2 linked regions of the Caenorhabditis elegans genome follow. The protein of the gene in region 1 purifies or fractionates together with the protein of each later gene. This does not show direct contact. Each region holds a gene or a part of one and is shown on either strand. Other genes may lie near its edges. The genes, in order: rfgp-2 and arf-1.

Region 1 (4,703 bases):
TTGATAAATGAGGCGATACGAGAAGCAATTCGACTGAAAGTTTTTGGAAAGAAGACGCTTGTTAATAATAGTGATACACCAGCAGTACCAACAACATTGGCAACTCATTCGAAGAATATTGTTACCACAAATCGATTATTTTCTGTTAGGGTTAATGGATAAATTATTTTAAAATAAAGTTTATATGAATTTAAAAATAAATAATAAAACTAAAATTATTGTTCTCTTTGTTCCATTGCAATTTCTCTTCTTTTCTTTCTTCTCTCCGCATTTTGTCTTCTCTTTGCCTTCTTTTCTTCCAGTTTTTGTTTCAAAACTTGTTCTCTTCTCTTCACTTTTTCAATTCTCAAATGATACAATTGCTCTTCAAATTCCATATCTTTCCTTTTCAATCCTTCCTGTTCGATTTTGTTCTTTACATCTTCATTCGCTTCCTTCACATGCCAATCTTCTTCTATCATTAGTCGTTTAATGCGTCGAGCTTCTTCCTTGAATTTCAGAGTTTGACGATCGACTTCTTCTTTTGATGGGATTCGATGCACATGTCTGGAAATGTAGTCTTATTTCGAAAGTTTTGTGTGAATCTAAGTATACCTGATTAAGAAATAACCACCACAGATGTAAGGAAGGAGCAGCAGATTTTGAAAATAGAGTAGGAGCAATTCAACATAATACATGAACATTTCACGGGTAGAAATTGCTGAAAACGTAGCATTATTTCAACAACCGGTACCTCCCACATATCTTTTGGCAACAATAAAGTAAGCCTGCCTAGGCATAATGAAGCTAGATGCTCACCTATATATTTCCTAGAAGTTTCCGATTTCGCATTCCTTATTTCAAAGCCAAAATGGATGATAAGAATTATATAAAGCACGATAAGATAGACTTTTTTGTAGATTTTCAATGCGTAAAATATGAAAAGTGCAATTAAACCCTGAAATTTTTAAAATTTATTTGCAATTCCATTCGGAAAATCTCTCACATTCTGTAGTGATTTAGTGGCACTTGTGCATGATCTCGTCGAATGGTGTTTATTGAATACCGGATTTATAAGCTCAAATCCATCGATCTTGAATTGCTGAGGCTGACAAACTCTCAAATTTGATCAAACTGATTAGGCTTTTAGGCTCAAATAAGCTACTAACATTATCGAGTAGTATATGGGAATGAAGCTGAAAAATATGAGACCAACTGAATACCAACGAAGATGTAGCTGGAAGAAATCAATTACTCTCAGAAACATGTTATTTGAGCTCACTCTTAAATTGCACTTTGCTTCAATAAAGGCATAGGTTCTTTTATTCAATTGCTTCTCGAATAATGGTTTACCTCATCTTCAACATCTTCCAATTCGGTTTCTTCGAGAGAGTGACCAACTGATTTATCCACTGATTTTGATGCACGTTTACGTGGTGTAACTACCATATTTTTTGAAAATACATTTTTTGAGGTAATTTTTCCGTCCACAGTCGGTCTGGTCGTTTCACGTTTCAACCAAAGGTCGAAGTATAATATTTATAATGTTATTTCACATTTTAAGCAGAGCATTGTGGACTAATCAGAAAGTGAGGCATTTATAACTTTAGTTTCAAAATTATGCTTTAAAATGTATGGTCATCTACAATCACTAGCTGTTATAGACACCTGTGTTTCACTTAAATAGAGAAACTTTCTTTCTGAAATAAATTAATTCATTTCCTCGAAATGCTCGTGAAATTCCGTGCAAAGTCCGCAGCGCGGTGTTTGCGTACTTTCGACGTGTAACTCGCTAAAATTATGTGAAGCCGGCGCAACTGAAAGACTACAAACCAACGTTGAAAATGGCTTAATCGATAGTTTTCAGTTAATTTTTTCACCAATTCTTATGTAGAAATCATTGACCATCATCTCTTATCAGTGCAACAACTTCCTGATCCACTAAGCGTTGAACGCCGATTTTTTTCTCTAATTTGGCAGAAACCGGTTTCTTTTCATTGATTTTATGTTCGCGTACAGCCATTTGACAGCTTTTCCCCCAATCTTTGCAAACATGTGTACCCAAGTTATTGATTTCATTTTTCAGGCAAAATGTCCGACGAAAATGGGCCTTCCAAAGTTGATTTGCAGACAGCAATGAGAAAAATGAGAGCTCTCCCACCGAACAAAGTAAGATTTTCATTTTGCTGTTGATTGAAAAATCTAAATATATATTATCTTGAAAATAAATAAAAAACAAAAACGTATTTTTTCAGCTCTGCTTCGACTGTGGTGCGAGGAACCCCACCTGGTGCACTGTCACATATGGTTCGTATTTCAAATAATTCTAATCACTCATTAAACATTTTTCAGGTGTATTTCTCTGTATTGATTGTTCTGCTGTTCATCGTAACCTCGGTGTTCACCTCACGTTCGTCCGTTCCACCAATTTGGATACAAATTGGACTTGGCTTCAGTTGAGAGCCATGCAACTCGGAGGAAATGGAAATGCGGTTAGTTTATTCGATATGAAACACAACTGTTGAATTCATTTTTTTTGCAGAATCAATTCTTCAAAGCGCATGGCTGCAATACCACTGAAGCTCAACAAAAATACAAAAGTCGAGCGGCTCAGATGTATAGAGATAAGCTCTCAACCCTGTGCCAGGAAGCCCAGCGAAAATTCGGGACTCAATTGATTATTGATACAGTAACTCATGCAGAGGAAAAGCCAGCTGTGAGTTTGACTGTTTTCATACTCGTCTTTATTTATTTATTTCAGGAGGAAGAAGATTTCTTCGCTCAAGATTTCGGTCACACTTCTGCATCTGCTACTTCCTTGTCTTCTGATGCATATATTGCTGATCACAAATCTGAAGACTCTACTCACGGTCCAAGCGTTGATCATCTCGACTCTTCCGTCGCTGTTCCTACCTCTGCTCCAGTTTCCGTGATTCTTAAAAAACCAATCAAGAAAGCCACTCTCGGCGCCAAGAAAAATGCTCTCGGAGCTCAAAAAGTGCGGATTAATTTTGATGAAATTGAGCAAAGAGCTGCTGAAAAAGAGAGACAGACGGCCGCCGAAGTTGCTGCGAACAAGCTTGCTTATCAAACAGAGCTTGATGGTAAGAAAAAATCCGATGATGCCGCTGCATTGCAAAAGCTCAGTGCCAAATTTGCCATGCAAGATATTGATGCTCAAAGAAAGCAAATGGAGGTAGGATTTCAAACAAATGACATTGGTTTTTAAAGTTAATATTTTTCAGGCAAAGGTTGCAAAAGATCCTACAAAAGCCGCTTCAGTCGATCGTCTCGGAATGGGAGGTGTCGGTAGATCCCGTGCCGCTCATTCAGTCGCTGGTGGTATTCGATCTATTAAACAGGATGATGTTCTTACGTTCAAGAAACCTTCACAGCCAAAAGAAGATGACGATTGGGAGGTTATTGATGATAAGTACGGAAAGAAAAGTACGAACAACGAGGATGATTTCTTCTCAAAAGACTATACTTCGAGTAGTAGCAAGAAAACAACAAAGGAAGATGATTTCTTTGACTCATTTGAGACGCAACCTGTGCAGTAAGTGAAATTATATAAAATTAATTTAAAACACGACTTTACGACTTTTTTCCAGAAAATCCCGCTATACCGCATCTTCTTCCTCTTCGTCAACATCCCGTGCACCAACGACTCGCCTGACTGCTGGAGCATCTCCAATTTCGGATGTTGATCTTCAGAAGAAATTCGGAAATGCTAAAGCTATCTCAAGTGATATGTACTTTGGAACGCCTGAAATGGATGTATGTTTTTATATTATTGGTAATATTTTTAAATTTACAATTTTATATATTTTCAGTGTGAAACAAGAAGTGCATTGACCAAGTGTGAAGGACAGACTTCATTTGGATCCGAAGATTTGTGGGGTAACGGAAGCCAGCAACGTCAATCTAGTCAAGTAAGCTCGAAGCTGTCATCGAAATTAAAATATTCTAAATCTAATTTTCAGGTTCCTGATATGTCTGATTTGAAAGATTCTTTCCGTGCCGGAGCTTCAAAGGTCGCTGAGAAATGGTCAACGCTGTCGAGTTCATTCTCTACTTACATGTCGGTAAGTAAATTTTTATTCCAAAGTTTTCTGGAGGTATTGAAAAAATATAAGACAGTTTAAAAATTAAAATAAGTTTATAATCCACAATTCAGCGTGCTCCTCCAGCAACTGGAGAAAAAACATAAATTCCTGGCTTTTAACGGCGAGTTTATCCCATCCGTAAAATTGGTTTTTAATGTTGTTTTCTTTTAGTTTTGTCTTTATCTTTTATTTTTCAACCTATGGGTTTTTGTATTCTCACTGAATTTCGGGTCTTTCAAAACTTTTTTACTTTATTTTATTGAATGTTGTGTGTCATTGGGTTTTTCAATTTCTTTTGTCGTTGTGAATGTTTCATATATCAGTTTTGTTGGGCACAAACTTAAGTTAACTTCCATTCAAAAAAAAACCTTCAAATTGAGAAAATCGTAATTGCAAGCTGTGTAGATTTACTGTAAACAACACACACATCCGGAATAACGGAGTGTCGTAGTTTATTTTCATTTTTTCGAATTTCGTTTTGTTTTAACAATTATATTTTTCTTCTAAATTCCTTAAGAGCGTTTCAATTTTTTTTTGTTGAAAATTGTCATGACTAGCATCTAACTCAGGGAAATTTAAAAAAATTTCTATAACTTGAAAATTCGCTTTGCATTGAGC
Region 2 (3,783 bases), on another chromosome or scaffold:
TATATAATTGGATTACTGTAGTTCCATTAATTGTGCAATTTAGGTGATTTGGAGAGGTTATGAATTGGAATACGTCTGGGAATAGTATCAGGGTACATTAGAAGCACTGTAGGATTACTGTATTTTCAGTGTATTACGTGAACACTGAGAATGCGCATTGAGCAACATGTTCGACGCGCAAAATATCTCGTAGCGAAAACTACAGTAATTCTCTAAATGACTACTGTTGCGCTTGTGTCGATTTACGGGCTCGATTTTAGAACATAATTTATTTTCGAATTGTGACCGAAATATTTGAATTTCATCCTATTTTTCTTTTTTCTGTCATTCCGAGTCAAAAAGTGAAAAAGAACAAAGCAAAATCAGACCATGGCTACAGTAGTAATGTAAATAATTTCTGTATTTTTCGCTACGTGATATCTGTGCGCCAGACAAGTTGCACAATACGAAATTCCAGAATTTAGTTTTTCCGTATTAAAAATTTTTGCACATAGTATAACGCCTCATGTGTTAATAAATTACCCTTAAAAATTAACATTTCTTGTCCAAATTGAGGAAAAAGATCATTTTCATACTTTCATATTGTCATTATCAACAGGTGAATATAACATAATAATTTACTCCACGACAAAAAAAATGGTGAATATGATACTATAATACGGAAAAATTGAGGAAAAGCAAAACAGTGTTCGATACGAAATAGAAGAGAAGCGAAATTAAAGGTTCGAGGGGAAGGGAACGATGAAAACGAGATTTGTGTGTAGGTTTGTGTGCAATTACGCGCAAAAATCACAAAAATAGAATAATGGTTCAACAAGAGAAGAGAAACACGTTCATACTTCTTCTCGTTACACAACACTGTTTCAGGGAATATTTGAGGGAGATGGAGGGCGGAGCAGGTCAAAAATGGAGAGAAAAACAATGAATAACTTACATATTATTCCCGTCAGGAGCGGTTCCAAATGTAATCGGATAAGAAAAAATGTCGGATTTGGAAGTTAAGAAGAAATAGACGACAAATGAATTGGGGCTTTAAATAAAAATTGGGTTGAAAAAGTAGAAGAGGGCGATGGTGATCAAATTAAAAAGCCTAAGGGATGGGAGAGGGAATTTCAAATGGAACAGAGAAGAACAAAGAGAATGAATGGGGAGAAGAAAGGAGTTGAAACGAATAACAAAAACGGATGATTCGTAGTCGTTTATTCGTCGAAGGTGGATTCAGAAAAATGATTTAAGATCTATTCTTGAGCTGGTTGCTGAGCCAATCGAGTCCTTCATAGAGACCATCTCCTGATGTCGCACATGTGGCCTGGAATTAATTTATTATTGAAAAATAGTGAATTTCTTTAGTTTTAAAATATCAGATGAGAAACTGCTGATTAAAAATATCTCACCTGAATATACCACGATCGATTTCTGAGCGAGTGGAGCCCGAGCTTGTCAGTGACCTCAGCGGCGTTCATGGCTTGTGGAAGATCTTGTTTGTTGGCGAAGACCAGAAGAACGGCATCACGAAGCTCATCCTCGGCGAGCATACGCATCAGCTCTTCACGAGCCTCTCCAACACGTTCACGATCGTTGGAATCAACAACAAAGATAAGTCCTGCAAGAAAATATAATCAATAGAGCATTTTTTTTGGACAGTCTGTGAATTCTTGCGGGTGATAAGCTGATCCGCAAACTATTCTCGTAAATCACTAACCTTGTGTGTTCTGGAAATAATGCCTCCAGAGTGGACGGATCTTGTCCTGACCTCCGACATCCCACACGGTGAATGAAATGTTCTTGTATTCGACAGTCTCCACGTTGAATCCTGAAATATGAATAAAAATTATGACTCATTGTGAACCGTTCTTTCGCAACAAAAAAACGTCCCAATGACTCACCAATAGTTGGGATAGTCGTGACAATCTCGCCCAGCTTCAACTTGTACAAAATCGTAGTCTTTCCGGCAGCATCCAATCCAACCATCAGAATACGCATCTCCCGTTTGCCGAAGAGGCCTTTAAATAAGCTGCCGAACACGTTTCCCATTCTATAAATTGATTAATAAATTAAATTATTGAATTTCAGAAGAGGAACCGATGGAAGTGAAAAGGAACGCTAATAAAATGTGAAAGCTGAATCAATAATCTTCGTGGGAAATTGCGAAAAATTCGGGAAGATTTCAAATCCAATACGTGAAAATGCCAGCAACGACAATCGGAGAAAAAAGTACGGAAGACGATTGGAAGGAGGAAGAATCGGGTAAAACGTGGCAAGGAGATGGATATCTATAACAGGCGCAAGGAGCGAGAATCCAGCAGAAATACATCGGCTACACCGTCCAACGTGTCACTAGCACAGCAGTCTCTGGCGACCAGTGGAGTGTCTCTTCCTCTCTCAACCTCTCGACGCTGCTTTTTGTCTTGTTCGCTGGGCGCGTCGCGTGCGTTGCGCAGCGGTCGAATAAGAGGAGATAGATGGCAATAAGTGAAGAGACCGAGACGTGAAAGTACCGCAAGAGATGAGGAGAGAGCGAAAAAGAACAAGAGACCGTCCAAATTTGTCCGCTAGTGCAGGACGGAAGGATGAAGAACACATACACACAGGAACGAGAATAGTAATGTTCGAGTTCCTTCTACTGACTCCACGTCAGCCGTACGTTGAATCTTTCAATCCTTCAGTGAAATCTTGATTGATTGATTGAATGAACCCGAAAGTTCTAAAATTTGAACTTTGAAACAAACTTTTTCGAGTGATAAGACGATAAACTGCAACATTAAGAAAGTGATGAAAAATGCTTTTTGAGAGAAGAAAAACCTATTGAACGCGAGCGCATTGTTGAGAAATTTTGAAAATCGTGACGCAATTAAAAACTCTGAAAAAAGGACACGTGTCACAAGAGTGCAGCACGAGATACTGTGACTAATAAATAGAATCAGATGAGAAAATTAATATTAAATCAAATACAAAGCGCCAAACTTTCTAAATAGATGACCCGCATTTCCGACTAAAGCAATGTGGCGCTTCTGAAGAATGTGCTGGAGAAAAATGAAAGCTTAATAGAAACCGGCCGCCGCAGACAGTATAGATCAATGCCTTTGCGCCAATCTAGGATAGTTCATCTTTCCGCCTTTCAAAATGCCGAGAATTTCTTACTTTCTGCAGTAATTATTAGGAGTCACAAACCTTGATTTTCGAGCTTTTTGCGTTCAAATTCGGAAATAAATGAAATGACGATCAAATCAAAGATAAAATGTGACGATTGCAACGTCGAAGCAAGAAAAATTGGAGGAATAAAGTTAAGAAAGAACAAAGAAAAAAAAAATTAAAATCATTTATTTTCTGGCAATTCACGGCTAAATACGACGAAAACACACCGGTTTCCGCAAAAATACCTGTGTTTTATTGAAAATTAACTCGTTTTTTACTCGTCACTCGGGAGGGGCTCTTTTTGTACTCGTTCACTTTTCAGTGGCCCGTCTTTTATTCTTTCGCTGATTTTTTTTCGAGATCACAGCCATTATGTATTCTTTTACTTTATTTTTCTCATTTAGTGGAGTTATTGCTCTCTTTTGCTCTTTTTTGCTGGCTTTTTCATCAATGAGATATATCGATAGAAATAATGCAAACAACAAAAATGAACGAAAAAATAATGGGAACTTGTCAAGGAATCAGGTAAAAATCAATAATCATTGCGATTCTGAACAGATCACATGACAAGTTCTTAGCCAAGAACAATAAAAAATGAAGATGAAAAAGTATTGCCAAATGGGCAGTTAAACTGAAGACAATTAAAGA

What was found.
Region 2: the proteins of rfgp-2 (region 1) and arf-1 fractionate together in Caenorhabditis elegans (co-fractionation; one large-scale study listed by BioGRID). This does not show direct contact.

The regions. Positions count from the first base shown.
Region 1 is NC_003280.10:5,426,935-5,431,637, reverse strand, and holds rfgp-2 (ARF GTPase activating Protein), read left to right. Parts: upstream 1-2,065; 5' UTR 2,066-2,070; coding exon 2,071-2,148; intron 2,149-2,234; coding exon 2,235-2,286; intron 2,287-2,331; coding exon 2,332-2,471; intron 2,472-2,521; coding exon 2,522-2,695; intron 2,696-2,740; coding exon 2,741-3,175; intron 3,176-3,224; coding exon 3,225-3,535; intron 3,536-3,590; coding exon 3,591-3,756; intron 3,757-3,812; coding exon 3,813-3,911; intron 3,912-3,962; coding exon 3,963-4,064; intron 4,065-4,156; coding exon 4,157-4,189; downstream 4,190-4,703. Other genes in the region: srx-114 (7TM GPCR serpentine receptor class x (Srx) domain-containing protein), read left to right, coding at 1-162. UniProt on the Caenorhabditis elegans protein: GTPase-activating protein for the ADP ribosylation factor family.
Region 2 is NC_003281.10:5,714,367-5,718,149, reverse strand, and holds arf-1 (ADP-ribosylation factor 1-like 2), read right to left. Parts: upstream 2,036-3,783; 5' UTR 2,035-2,035; coding exon 1,887-2,034; intron 1,814-1,886; coding exon 1,703-1,813; intron 1,604-1,702; coding exon 1,395-1,603; intron 1,310-1,394; coding exon 1,232-1,309; 3' UTR 606-1,231; downstream 1-605. UniProt on the Caenorhabditis elegans protein: Small GTPase involved in protein trafficking between different compartments. Modulates vesicle budding and uncoating within the Golgi complex. In its GTP-bound form, triggers the recruitment of coatomer proteins to the Golgi membrane.